2 linked regions of the Lytechinus pictus genome follow. The protein of the gene in region 2 purifies or fractionates together with the protein of the main gene of each other region. This does not show direct contact. Links are inferred from orthologs where the notes say so. Each region holds a gene or a part of one and is shown on either strand. Other genes may lie near its edges.

Evidence for each region. Proteins that work in one complex are often made in the same cells at the same time.
Region 1: the proteins of cell division control protein 45 homolog (region 2) and DNA replication licensing factor mcm5-like purify together in Drosophila melanogaster (affinity purification with western blotting; 4 studies listed by BioGRID, with this or other methods). This does not show direct contact. The link is inferred for Lytechinus pictus from reciprocal best matches to the Drosophila melanogaster genes Cdc45 and Mcm5.

The regions. Positions count from the first base shown.
Region 1 is NC_087251.1:6,433,668-6,441,151, reverse strand, and holds the start of DNA replication licensing factor mcm5-like, read right to left. Parts: upstream 3,005-7,484; 5' UTR 2,838-3,004; coding exon 2,683-2,837; intron 1-2,682. Other genes in the region: atypical kinase COQ8B, mitochondrial-like, read left to right, coding at 5,687-5,878, 6,528-6,866. UniProt on the Drosophila melanogaster protein: Acts as a component of the Mcm2-7 complex (Mcm complex) which is the putative replicative helicase essential for 'once per cell cycle' DNA replication initiation and elongation in eukaryotic cells.
Region 2 is NC_087246.1:10,233,085-10,240,603, forward strand, and holds the start of cell division control protein 45 homolog, read right to left. Parts: upstream 3,030-7,519; 5' UTR 2,798-3,029; coding exon 2,747-2,797; intron 1-2,746.

The DNA of each region.
Region 1 (7,484 bases), on a different chromosome or scaffold from region 2:
TTACAATACTGTAATATTGCATGGGGAGGGACAGGTTCAACAAAACTTGAACCCTTGCACAAACTTCAGAAAAAGGCTTTACGAATTTGTACATCTTCTCATTTCCTTGCCCATTCTCAACCAATATTCTTTAGACTTAAAACGTTGAATATTTTTGATATTCATACTTACCAAACTGCTATTCTAATGTTCAAACTAAAAAAAACAATATTACCTAGCAATATCTCTTCATTTTTTCAACAAAATAAGCATATTCATTCTTACAATACCCGACAAAGTTCAAAATTACACTATTCAAAAGTAGAAAATGATCGCTCACTGAGATTAATCCGTCATCAAGGTCCTCGGATATGGAATACTCTGAATGTGAATGTTACATCATGCAGCTATTTAAACTCTTTTAAACAAAAATGTAAATCAAGCTTGCTATCCACTTATAGTCACTAAATATATATATTTTTTTTTCTCTCTCTAATAATTGGATAATATGTATGTACATTGTGCTTTACCGGTATTTGATGCGTCTCACTCTTTGTGGCTGGTTCACTTGAAACTTTTTTTTTTTTTTTTTTTTTTTTTTTTTTTTCTTTTCATTTACAAATTTTAGAGTGACTTGTTCCAGGCACAATTGACTAGGCACAAATACCTCCTCCCCCCCCCCCATGCCTGTGTGATTGACTGTGTGGTGTGGATGTGTTTGTTTTGTTTTTGCTTTGTTACTCTGTTTAAACGCTTTTTTTATCATCTTCTTTGTGTACACAATCTACTGAATTTTTGTTCCTGGGGGGAACATTTAACCCACAAGCTTCGCTTTTTAGTTCCCCCCTTTTTCCTCATCTATTATATTATTGTACATGGATTATGAAATGCATTTTTTTTAATGCTCTCTTTATGTATGTAAATATTTAATGACTAGAAATGCATTTATAATGTTATGTGTTGTAAATATGAATTTTATTTTTTTTACTGATATGGAAATAAAGACATTGAATTGAATTGAATTGAATTGAACATAAAAATATGCCCGAAATTCAAGTTTTCGAGCGCTCTGGTGAATACAAAAAATTACTCCCAAGTTACTAATGAAAAATAAATTGCAACTGTATGGAAATTAGTATATTTGGTCACAAAAGTGATATTTTAATGATTTTTTAAAGGGATGGTCCAGCCTGGAGATATTTATATCTCAATAAATAGATTAAAATTCACAGAGCAAAATGCTGAAAATTTGATTAAAATCGGATAACAAATATCGAAGTAATTGAATTTTGAAAGATTTGCATTATTCCTGTGAAACAGTTCTAGGCAAGTCTTCATGAATATTCATTAGGTGGGCTGATGATGTCATATCCCCACTTGTTCTTTTGTATTTATTATTAGCCTGAGGACTTCATGATGATATTTTTAAATATTTTGACATATAGATTCTATGTCAAAATATTAAATAATATTTTGACATATATATAGGTCTAGATCTATGTCAAAATATCAAAAAATATCATCACGAAGTCCTCAATTCTATTTTATTATATATTAGGTTTATTCAAAATGTTTCTACCAAGAACTAAAATAATTCGATTGACAACTGATTTAGTGCATTAGTTATTTATTGCCGCAACTTATTTCATCATAATGGAGACGCATCATTTACACATGTATGAAAAAATGAAACAATTATGATTTCATGTAATACATGTAAAACAAAAGAAAAAGGAAAGTGGGGAAGTGACATCATCAGCCCACTTAATGAATATTCATGACGATGTGCGTATATAGTCTATTACTGTTTTCACAAAATATTGTCTTATTGATTAAACTTTAAATTCAATAACTTCAGTATTTGTTATCCATTTTTGATGAAATTTTCAGCAATTTGCTCTGTGAATTTTGGAAAGAGTTCCATGGTTCCATATGCACCCCCCACCAAAAATAAAAAAAGATTGTTGAGACTTCCGGTTTGTTCCTATCATTTCTTTACTGTTGCTTTAAATACCTTAGTCATGTTAGTTGGGACTCGAACTCACCTCGTTTTATCTGCAGTCAAGACCTTTCCCGCTATGCTAGCGAGAAGCGCTGATACCGGAAGGGGTATTTTTAACGATTATCAGCCGGTAGTTCGACTCGTCTTGACTCACAGGACACAGACCCTGCCGGTCCCTGGCTTTACTTACTTAGTTACCGACTAAATAAAACTAGATTATAGATAGATCCTGCTCGAAATTTGACGGTATAAAGCCATATTTTGGTATTTATTTCCACTCCCCCATCATATATGTTCTAGGCCTAGGCCTATATTAGGGCTAGATATATTATTCTGAACCTTCTCCTATTTTTTGTTTTCAATTTTAGTGGGGCCTGGGGTGCATATATTATGGAACTCTTACCTGAATTTTACTCTATTTATTTCACATATTAATATTTTACTTCAGCCCGGACCATTCCCTTTAAAGGCTTTAAATTGTGTGCTGTGTACAGCATTGGCATACACCATACTCCATAGTCCTACCTGTACTAGATTCCCCACAGGCAGGATGGTAATGAATCCTTGAGTGGATCTAGCTTTTACCTTTAAAACCTTTAAAATGTTTACCTTTTACCTTTAAAATTTAAATGTCCCAAAAATATGCACAGACACACCGCACCGCCAGCCGCGCTAGCAGTGCAGTGCAGTCTCTTTCTTACCGGTATTTGTAGGAAAAGTTTGCATCATGAAACTTTCGAAGAAAGTCCTTGAAACGACGTTGCAAGGCGGCTCGATTAATCCTGCCATCATCAGGTTGATCTTCTGATCCAAAATTGTCAGAGAAAAAGATTCCTGGATCATCAAATCCTGCCATTTTGGAGCACAATCAGTCAGAGAGCACGTATTCTTTTAGATCAGAATCCAAATCTTTGTTATGAACTTCGCGGGAATAATAAACCACGTGAACTAAAGCTGGCGCGAAACTACGACTTCCGGGATTTGAAGACACAACTCGTTTCTTTGTAATAATTTGCGTTTCTCGTAGTTAAAGTGAAGGAGCATAAAACATAGTTTGTCTTTAACTTCTGCTAGGATTGATACATTATCAAGAAGGGAATAATTGTTCCGTCCAAAGAAAAATAAATACTTTTTCAATAGAAAAATAGACATTCACATAGTCTCGACAAAGAGGAGATACAACTCATTCTAATCTTTGACAACTTAGTCCTAGTTTTTGAAGAATAATCCTCAGTATATTCCTTGCTTTTAATTTGAGATAGACCCATCTATTCTTTGTTAGAATCCATTTAATATAATTACCTTCTAATGAAATGGATTTTTCCATTTTGTTTTCATAATTTTCACAAAATTGTTCATTACATCACCACTCCGCATCGCATGTTCGTGGGGGTTGTGGTTTTGTGTGCTGGAGAGATCAAGACTGAGCAACGTAATCTGATATGTTTAGCTGCCTTCTCCGCTGGCCCAGCAAATTACGACACGCCGGTGGAAATTTTGGAAGTGGAACTCGCAGGTGAGTCCGTTAAACGTTATGCAATACAATTAAGGGCAAGTCCACCCCAGGGAAAAGTTGATTTGAATCAATAGAGAAAAATCAAACAAGGATAACACTGAAAATTTCATCAAAATCGAATGTAAAAAAAGAAAGTGACATTTTCAGCTGTGTCTGAATCCTCTCTGCCTCTGCCTGGTGCATGGTCACATGGTGTAGATATAAAGTTAGACTTAACTTTTAGTTAGAGGGATATTTATAGGGATGTGCCCCAAAAATTGAAGTGTCGTAATTCTAGTTTTAAATAGTTTAACTGGAATAAGCTTTGAAACACGAGTAAAATGACACCAAGAATAAAGATCATGAAATTGGACCAGGGGTTGCCGAGATAAAAGAGGAAGCAAATTGCCTAAAAGTAAAAAGGTAAACTAAAAGCAAAAATTTTTGCTCGCTCACAACTTTTTCGTAATTTTACACGATAAACCATATTGAACCCTCTAAAATTGTTTTGGCTCATTACGCCACTGTCTTTTGTATTAACATGAAATTATGTTTATTCTATAGATGTATTCCAAGAACTAAAAAAGTTGGATTGACAAATTTAGTATAGTCACGTATTGTATTACCGGACACTATTATGATTCCGGACGCGCATATTACTGCGTTCTAAAACAAATTCGTACCGTAAGACTTCCGTAATTCGATTTCACAGAGCAATACATAGAACAAGATTGCAATAAAAACAAGGCAAAAAATCCAACTTTTACCTAATTATCTCTCAAAATGACAGAAAATGCTTAAAATATCATATAACATAGTTTTGTATTAACAATTGATATATTTTCTAACGGAAATATGGGCCTGATTTTGCAGAATTTCAATCTCGTCCACTCCTTCGATCGAATGATGAGGTGTGGTGAATTGTGGGTGATCATCGATGGCTAGTTCTCAAGGTACCCGTGCGCGAGGTATACCGTGAGTAGAGCCGTCGATCGGCAGCGCATCGATAGAACTTGATAAGCGTCACGATACGAACGCGAGCATATTATTATTGGAAAGTGCCATGGAACATGCAGCTAACAAGACAAAATAAAATAAGTTATCGAACACGAATTTATTACCAACATCTGCTCAGATTCGATATAAAAAAGCAAATAATACTTAGAATTTACTCATGATATGATATAAGAAGAAAAAAATCACACAAATTTGCTCTTACATCATTATAATCAAGGATATCTTTACCCGTCCGGCGCGCGTCCGGAATCATGATGTAATTTGTCGCGCACGAAAATAATTGTTTTTCGTGGAGGGGTATGCGGCAACTGCGATGCAAAGAAAATGGTTGGTAAATATAAAATAATTTTATCATATTTATAATTTTCATAATATTTGGAATAGCAAGTGTGAATTTTTCTTGATTGTATTTCCTCTAGTTGTCATTTTTAAAGCACTGAAATAAAGGTGTCCGGCAATAGGATACACTGCCATACATTAGGTATATTGATGACACTTATTTTATTTTAAGCGAGGCATATAACACACTCATGTACATAAAACATGAAATATTATGGTTTCATGTAATTTGGGGTTGTGACATCAGCAGCCAACCTAATGAATATTTAAGTCGTGATTTAAATTTGCCAACCCTGTTACAAAGTGCTAGAGAATCAAACACAAAATTAACAAATTTGAGAAAGTGTTCAAATTCATGTTTATTTCAACATGAGCATCCAGACATCCTACCAGCTGTGAAATATGTGTAATTTGAGCAGAATTATATGTTATTTCAAGTCTAAATTATGCAGTACTAATTATAACAGTTTGAATGCACTATTGCACAAAGCATGTATGAAAAAGGCATGTATATGCAGACGCATTTACGCACAAAGGGTCTATTTGTTTGGACCATAATAGGTCCATGTTTGGACTAAGGATCAAGAACGAAAAGAAATACTTGAATATTTAGGCCTGTTCAAATGTGCGGAGGAATCTATAGGTGGTTTTGAATTGTATGGTACCTGAATATCTTCTGCGCTTAAATCTTTATGCCTGTCTCTCAACCCCAATTTGTGGTTACATAGTTCCACATGACATAAACAGTTATTGAATCTCTTGATCATGTTGTTACTATTTGCCAACTTTTATTCATTGTCATCGATCATACTTCAGGAAATAACTGAGGAGATTGTATTGAGTTGATAATCACCATGTCTGGATCAAGATTTGGTGATGCCGCCAAGGCTGCTAATGGATTTGGACTTTTGGTCAAGAGCTTTGTGGATGGTCAATGCAAAGAAGTAGGCCAGATCTGGGCTAACTCTAGTTTAAGGTCAGCTGTCCAAGGTATCCAGACCAAGACAGAAGAGAGGGTCAGTGATGCATGGATGAATTTAAACAAGGTAGGGATTTTTTAAAAGATATCTTTTTGAAATTATTTATCTATTTCTTCTTGAAGAGACAATTAAGTGACTGTTTTTACTTTTGATGATACCTGTTTTTTCATGAAATTTTGAACATGCTATTCAAAACAAAGGTCTATATGGAAGATGGTTGGTATTAGCAATGTATCTCATATTGTCCTGTGCAGTCAATTTTTTCATAGAAATTGTTTGAATATTATATGAAATCTTGTCTTATCAGGATATTGAACTGCTGAAGAAATTGCCTGATATGCGTTAGAGTAAATTTTAGAATTAATGGCTTATGCTGTAAGATATTGGAATCGCCAAAAAAAAAAGATTAAAAAAATTATCTTCTCGGCCTTGAGTCACATACAGTGCATAGAAACACATGTTGGAACTACACAATTTTCCCCCCAAAATCTTAGCTGTCTTTTTTCTTATCTTATGTGACTGACGGTCTGACCATCTAATCCAACAATAAGTTCGCATTAGACACATTTATGACAGTATTCTTAGTAGATAATATTTTAAAACAAATTTGAAAACTTACAATTATTCTCAATGCCCTTTTAATTTCTTGACTGCCACTCCCCATTATTTATTCTAACATATGTCTTTCAAAATTCTATTATTTTCCAATTTATAGGCTGAGAAAAATGATGATTGGGGTGACTCCATTGTGACAAGTGATCCTGAAGAATGGGGTGATACCTTTGCTGAGTCAGCTTCTCAGTTTGCTGCTGAAGACTTGACAGCAGCTCATTCTTCCAGAGAAAATGATCCACAGGGAACAGCACCCTCTAGAGGTTACCATACTTTAGCAAGTACTGCTGCTGCTCGGTACCGGTATAGGGTACACAGTGACATTTCTCGCAGATACTTTAACTCCGGAGCTGTTTCAGCTGACGACATCGGGAAGACAAAAAGTTCAGGGCCAAAGATACCACCTCGTAAGCCTGCTGCTAGACCAAGAATAAAACCAACAGTAAGTTGTAAAAATGTTGAATTTGGTAACCTGGCCTTGAGAAGATATTCCTTGGCACCTTGGAAGGGTTTGGCTTGTGCCAGGGTATCAGTATATCCTTTTTTAATAACTCATTTGCACCCCTAAGGGGGTGTTGCAAGAAAATATTTGCAATCAATCCCAAATATTCTGTTGCAATTTTACAGTTGATTGATCACTTTTAACTTTAGAAAATCAGATTAAAGTACTTGTTTCATGGAGCAGATTAGCAATCTATCGCAAATTTGCAATTAATTGCACGGCATATACTTGATTTCACGAACGAAAATAGATCTGCAATTGATCGCAAGTTTCTTGCAACGCCCCATTAGGAAAATCTTATCAAAGAACCGCTTGCTGTGTTCAGGAATGACTTAATTTTGTGTCCTTGACTTAGATTACTTTCTTGCAATTATAACCAATATAATGTGTACATCTTCTAACTGCATCTGGTACATCTGATGTGGGCTCATCGTGGTCTAGTGGTTCTGACTCTTGCCTTTCAAACAGAGGGTCGTGGGTTTGAATCCTAGCCATGGCGTCTTTTCCTTCAGCAAGAAATTTATCCACACTGTGCTGCACTCGACCCTGGTGAGGTAA
Region 2 (7,519 bases):
GCCAACGATGTGTATATTTTCGTAGTACGTGTAGGCCAACACAGTCCGCGATGGTAGCGGTGTGTTGGTGTCTGTAGTCGGTACAGGCCAACACTGCCCTCGATGCCAACGATCTATATCTGTGTTCTGTAGTATGTAGACCAACAGTGTCCGCGATGCCAACGATGTGTATATTTCCGTAGTATGTGTAGACCAACATTGCCCGCGATGCCAACGATGTGTTGGTGTCTGTAGTACAGGCCAACATTGCCCTCGATGCCAACGATGCGATCATATCTGTAGTTGCCTATGTAAACCAACATTGCCCACCATGGCAACGATGTGTTGGTGTCTGTAGTACATGCCAACAGTGCCCGTGATGCCAACGATGCGATCATATCTGTAGTTTCCTATGTAGACCAACATTGCCCGCGATGCCAACGATGTGTTGGTGTCTGTACTGTAGAGTACAGGCTAACATTGCCCTCGATGCCAACGATGTGAATGTATCTTTAGTAGGTATAGGCCAACAGCGCCCGCGATGCCAACGATGTGTTGGTGCCTGTAGTAGATGCCAACAGTGCCAACGATGCCAACAATGTAAATGTATCTTTAGTACGTATAGGCCAACAGCGCCGGCCAGGATGCCAACGATGTGTTGGTGTCTGTAGTATAGGCCAACCTTGCCCGCGATGCCAACGATGTGAATGTATCTTTTGTATGTATAGGCCAACAGCGCCCGCGATGCCAACGATGTGTTGGTGCCTGTAGTAGATGCCAACAGTGCCAACGATGCCAACAATGTAAATGTATCTTTAGTACGTATAGGCCAACAGCGCCGGCCAGGATGCCAACGATGTGTTGGTGTCTGTAGTACAGGCCAACCTTGCCATCGATGCCAACGATGTGAATGTATCTTTAGTAAGTATAGGCCAACTTTGCCGGCGATGCCAACGATGTGAACGTATGTTTAGTATGTATATACCAACAGCGCCCGCGATGCCAACGATGTGTTGGTGCCTGTAGTAGATGCCAACAGTGCCAACGATGTGAATGTATCTTACATAGGCCAACATTGCCGGCGATGCCAACGATGTGAATATGCCTGTAGTAGAGGCCAACATTGCCGGCGATGCCAACGATGTGAATATGCCTGTAGTAGAGGCCAACATTGCCGGCGATGCCAACGATGTGAATGTATCTTTAGTAAGTATAGGCCAACTTTGCCGGCGATGCCAACGATGTGAATGTATGTTTAGTATGTATATACCAACAGCGCCCGCGATGCCAACGATGTGTTGGTGCCTGTAGTAGATGCCAACAGTGCCAACGATGTGAATGTATCTTACATAGGCCAACATTGCCGGCGATGCCAACGATGTGAATATGCCTGTTGTAGAGGCCAACATTGCCGGCGATGCCAACGATGTGAATATAACCCTAACCCTAACCCTAACCCTAACCCTAACCCTAACCCTAAACCCTAACCCTAACCCTAAACCCTAACCCTAACCCTAACCCTAACCCTAACCCTAACCCTAAACCCTAACCCTAACCCTAACCCTAACCCTAACCCTAAACCCTAACCCCTAACCCTAACCCTAAACCCTAACCCTAACCCTAACCCTAACCCTAAACCCTAACCCTAACCCTAACCCTAACCCTAACCCTAACCCTAACCCTAATTGAATTCAATTCCCATTGAATTCCTTCAATGGGAATTAAAACTTTATTTCATATTTTAATGAAGAAAAAATGAAAATATTTCATGTATAAAAAATACAAAAGAAATAGAGAGTGAATGACATCGATCACCTCACTAACCAGGATATGCATATATTAAACTGTTTTGTGAAACCATACTTTGAAACGCTTGCCAACGATGTTTTGAATGTTGCATTGCACGGTCACATCGTTGGTCGTTGGCTAGCGGCGCACCCAACGATGTATAGCAATAGCTAGTAGTAGTAGGTAATTTAAAAGAGTGTATTAATCTTGTACTATTGCACCTTCACATCGTGGGTCGTTGGTTAGCCAACGATGTTTTAAATGTTACATGGCACCGTCACATCGTTGGTCGTTGGCTAGCGATGTTTTGAATATTATATTGCACCGTCCGTACCGTCACAACGTGGGTCGTTGGCTAGCAGCGCACCCAACGATGTTTAATTATAGCTCTAGTAGTAGTCAAAGGGCAAAGGTCATTACGTATGGCCTGGATGCATTGCTCGTACGTACCGTCATACGTACGTACGTACGTAGTATAGTAGTAGTAGTAGTACCAGTAATGCATGTACGTATATAATAGTATGGATATATCTAGGCTATATACCATTGAATTAGTATATAGCTATAGGTCTTGACATCGTTGTGTTGGCTGACCAACGATTGGGTAGTGAGCAGTGTCGGGGTATTCTGCAGTTAAGCCAAAAACAGTTTTAAATCGCGATCTATAAAACGCTAGTTCACTATACGTTGGCTGTAGGTACGGGGCCCCATCCCCTTCAGTCTATGTATGGTGAGTGGAGCCAACGTAGTTCAGCGGAACAACCAAAATACAGAGACTGAAGCTTTTGGTCTAGTATGTGAGTGACTGTGACTGAAAAAATAACACTGCAAAAAAAAATAACTCTTACTCTTAGACTTAGTAACAAACATCGATTTGAGCGGGTGGGACCGTACTTGGAAAGACGGCGATGAAATTAAATACAAACGAATAGAATTCATATCAAGTTCACACAATGAAAACACAGTAGAAAATACTTACATGATGTAGAATAACGTCATAGAATTGTGTTTTAATGTCTGTAATGAACATAATGTTGCTGACTTGGAAGTAAATATAATAAATCTGATGACAATAGGCTCCAATACTATTTCATTTTTCCCGCGGATGAGGGTCAAAAGGTAATATGCTGAAGTTAGAAGTAATTTCGGCACGGGGATACTTTATAAAATTGCCAATTTAAAAATTTAGAAGAAACGAAATGTATTCTGTACTTAGAAGAGGTATTGATCTTGATGTAACTCATATGCAGTGGCGTAGCTATACATACGGCGCGGGCGGGGGGGGGGGGGGGGGGGCAGGTGGGCACGTGCCCCCCCCCCCCCTGAAAAAAATTGGCTGAGCAAAAAAAGGAGAGAAAGAACGAAAAAAAGAAGGGAAAGATAGAAGAAAAAAGAGGGGGAAATGAAGAGGAGGGAGACAAGTGAATAAAAAAGGTGAGGGGAAGACTTTAAAAAAAAATTCATGTCACGATATAAAATTTTCATTCACGTTCTCCTTGTCTGACGTTCGATGAGATTCATATCTTGCTCAATATAGGTTAATATGGAGCTTAACGTATTAATTAATTTAATTTTTAAACACTTTAAACGATATAGATGAAAAAGGCATGAAAAATATACTTTACCGATGTTTAATTGGGTTGAACACGATAAAAATGGTCAAAATGGCAGCCAAACTATAAAATATTTACAAACGAACGTCAACAATCACGAATGTGATATCGATATTGCTTTCGATATTATACGATCTGCTCCATATGCGAACGAAACCGAAGATAAACGATACTAGTTATACTAGTACTAGTACTAGTTATAATCGCGATATATCGATTCGAGACATTAAGTTAATAACGATAATGACGTCATTCAAGATGGCAACTTGCAAGAAAAACCGTCAGGTCAGGTGAAAATGTCTTAGATGACAGATTTCTCAATCATCCAGAGGATTTTTTTCAATAACTCCGGCCCAAGGTATGCAATTACTAATTATTATTTATATTTCCCTGATAATGGAAACCATGAAACTTTCAATTTTGCTTAAAAAACAGGGAACAACTGCAGAATACCCGGACACTGCGTTACCTTATCGTTGGAGAGCCAACGCACAACGATGTACTTAAGCTATCAAATCAGAAAATCAGCTATAATAAATAATTGAATGATTTACAACTTACAAGTATTTTTTGAATAGATTCTAAGTGTTCAGACTGCACTGTAACGCTAACGATGCGAGCGCGCGCGATTAGTATGTAGACCAACAGTGTCCACGATGCCAACGATGTGTATATTTTCGTAGTACGTGTAGGCCAACACAGTCCGCGATGCTAGCGGTGCGTTGGTGTCCGTAGTACAGGCCAACACTGCCCGCGATGCCAACGATCTATATATATATCTGTGTGCATCTGTAGTATGTAGGCCGACATTGCCCGCGATGCCAACGATGTGTATATTTTCGTAGTACGTGTAGGCCAACACAGTCCGCGATGGTAGCGGTGTGTTGGTGTCTGTAGTCGGTACAGGCCAACACTGCCCTCGATGCCAACGATCTATATCTGTGTTCTGTAGTATGTAGACCAACAGTGTCCGCGATGCCAACGATGTGTATATTTCCGTAGTATGTGTAGACCAACATTGCCCGCGATGCCAACGATGTGTTGGTGTCTGTAGTACAGGCCAACATTGCCCTCGATGCCAACGATGCGATCATATCTGTAGTTGCCTATGTAAACCAACATTGCCCACCATGGCAACGATGTGTTGGTGTCTGTAGTACATGCCAACAGTGCCCGTGATGCCAACGATGCGATCATATCTGTAGTTTCCTATGTAGACCAACATTGCCCGCGATGCCAACGATGTGTTGGTGTCTGTACTGTAGAGTACAGGCTAACATTGCCCTCGATGCCAACGATGTGAATGTATCTTTAGTAGGTATAGGCCAACAGCGCCCGCGATGCCAACGATGTGTTGGTGCCTGTAGTAGATGCCAACAGTGCCAACGATGCCAACAATGTAAATGTATCTTTAGTACGTATAGGCCAACAGCGCCGGCCAGGATGCCAACGATGTGTTGGTGTCTGTAGTATAGGCCAACCTTGCCCGCGATGCCAACGATGTGAATGTATCTTTTGTATGTATAGGCCAACAGCGCCCGCGATGCCAACGATGTGTTGGTGCCTGTAGTAGATGCCAACAGTGCCAACGATGCCAACAATGTAAATGTATCTTTAGTACGTATAGGCCAACAGCGCCGGCCAGGATGCCAACGATGTGTTGGTGTCTGTAGTACAGGCCAACCTTGCCATTGATGCCAACGATGTGAATGTATCTTTAGTAAGTATAGGCCAACTTTGCCGGCGATGCCAACGATGTGAACGTATGTTTAGTATGTATATACCAACAGCGCCCGCGATGCCAACGATGTGTTGGTGCCTGTAGTAGATGCCAACAGTGCCAACGATGTGAATGTATCTTACATAGGCCAACATTGCCGGCGATGCCAACGATGTGAATATGCCTGTAGTAGAGGCCAACATTGCCGGCGATGCCAACGATGTGAATATGCCTGTAGTAGAGGCCAACATTGCCGGCGATGCCAACGATGTGAATGTATCTTTAGTAAGTATAGGCCAACTTTGCCGGCGATGCCAACGATGTGAATGTATGTTTAGTATGTATATACCAACAGCGCCCGCGATGCCAACGATGTGTTGGTGCCTGTAGTAGATGCCAACAGTGCCAACGATGTGAATGTATCTTACATAGGCCAACATTGCCGGCGATGCCAACGATGTGAATATGCCTGTTGTAGAGGCCAACATTGCCGGCGATGCCAACGATGTGAATATAACCCTAACCCTAACCCTAACCCTAACCCTAACCCTAACCCTAAACCCTAACCCTAACCCTAAACCCTAACCCTAACCCTAACCCTAACCCTAACCCTAACCCTAAACCCTAACCCTAACCCTAACCCTAACCCTAACCCTAAACCCTAACCCTAACCCTAAACCCTAACCCTAACCCTAACCCTAACCCTAACCCTAAACCCTAACCCTAACCCTAACCCTAACCCTAACCCTAACCCTAATTGAATTCAATTCCCATTGAATTCCTTCAATGGGAATTAAAACTTTATTTCATATTTTAATGAAGAAAAAATGAAAATATTTCATGTATAAAAAATACAAAAGAAATAGAGAGTGAATGACATCGATCACCTCACTAACCAGGATATGCATATATTAAACTGTTTTGTGAAACCATACTTTGAAACGCTTGCCAACGATGTTTTGAATGTTGCATTGCACGGTCACATCGTTGGTCGTTGGCTAGCGGCGCACCCAACGATGTATAGCAATAGCTAGTAGTAGTAGGTAATTTAAAAGAGTGTATTAATCTTGTACTATTGCACCTTCACATCGTGGGTCGTTGGTTAGCCAACGATGTTTTAAATGTTACATGGCACCGTCACATCGTTGGTCGTTGGCTAGCGATGTTTTGAATATTATATTGCACCGTCCGTACCGTCACAACGTGGGTCGTTGGCTAGCAGCGCACCCAACGATGTTTAATTATAGCTCTAGTAGTAGTCAAAGGGCAAAGGTCATTACGTATGGCCTGGATGCATTGCTCGTACGTACCGTCATACGTACGTACGTACGTAGTATAGTAGTAGTAGTAGTACCAGTAATGCATGTACGTATATAATAGTATGGATATATCTAGGCTATATACCATTGAATTAGTATATAGCTATAGGTCTTGACATCGTTGTGTTGGCTGACCAACGATTGGGTAGTGAGCAGTGTCGGGGTATTCTGCAGTTAAGCCAAAAACAGTTTTAAATCGCGATCTATAAAACGCTAGTTCACTATACGTTGGCTGTAGGTACGGGGCCCCATCCCCTTCAGTCTATGTATGGTGAGTGGAGCCAACGTAGTTCAGCGGAACAACCAAAATACAGAGACTGAAGCTTTTGGTCTAGTATGTGAGTGACTGTGACTGAAAAAATAACACTGCAAAAAAAAATAACTCTTACTCTTAGACTTAGTAACAAACATCGATTTGAGCGGGTGGGACCGTACTTGGAAAGACGGCGATGAAATTAAATACAAACGAATAGAATTCATATCAAGTTCACACAATGAAAACACAGTAGAAAATACTTACATGATGTAGAATAACGTCATAGAATTGTGTTTTAATGTCTGTAATGAACATAATGTTGCTGACTTGGAAGTAAATATAATAAATCTGATGACAATAGGCTCCAATACTATTTCATTTTTCCCGCGGATGAGGGTCAAAAGGTAATATGCTGAAGTTAGAAGTAATTTCGGCACGGGGATACTTTATAAAATTGCCAATTTAAAAATTTAGAAGAAACGAAATGTATTCTGTACTTAGAAGAGGTATTGATCTTGATGTAACTCATATGCAGTGGCGTAGCTATACATACGGCGCGGGCGGGGGGGGGGGGGCAGGTGGGCACGTGCCCCCCCCCCCCTGAAAAAAATTGGCTGAGCAAAAAAAGGAGAGAAAGAACGAAAAAAAGAAGGGAAAGATAGAAGAAAAAAGAGGGGGAAATGAAGAGGAGGGAGACAAGTGAATAAAAAAGGTGAGGGGAAGACTTTAAAAAAAAATTCATGTCACGATATAAAATTTTCATTCACGTTCTCCTTGTCTGACGTTCGATGAGATTCATATCTTGCTCAATATAGGTTAATATGGAGCTTAACGTATTAATTTT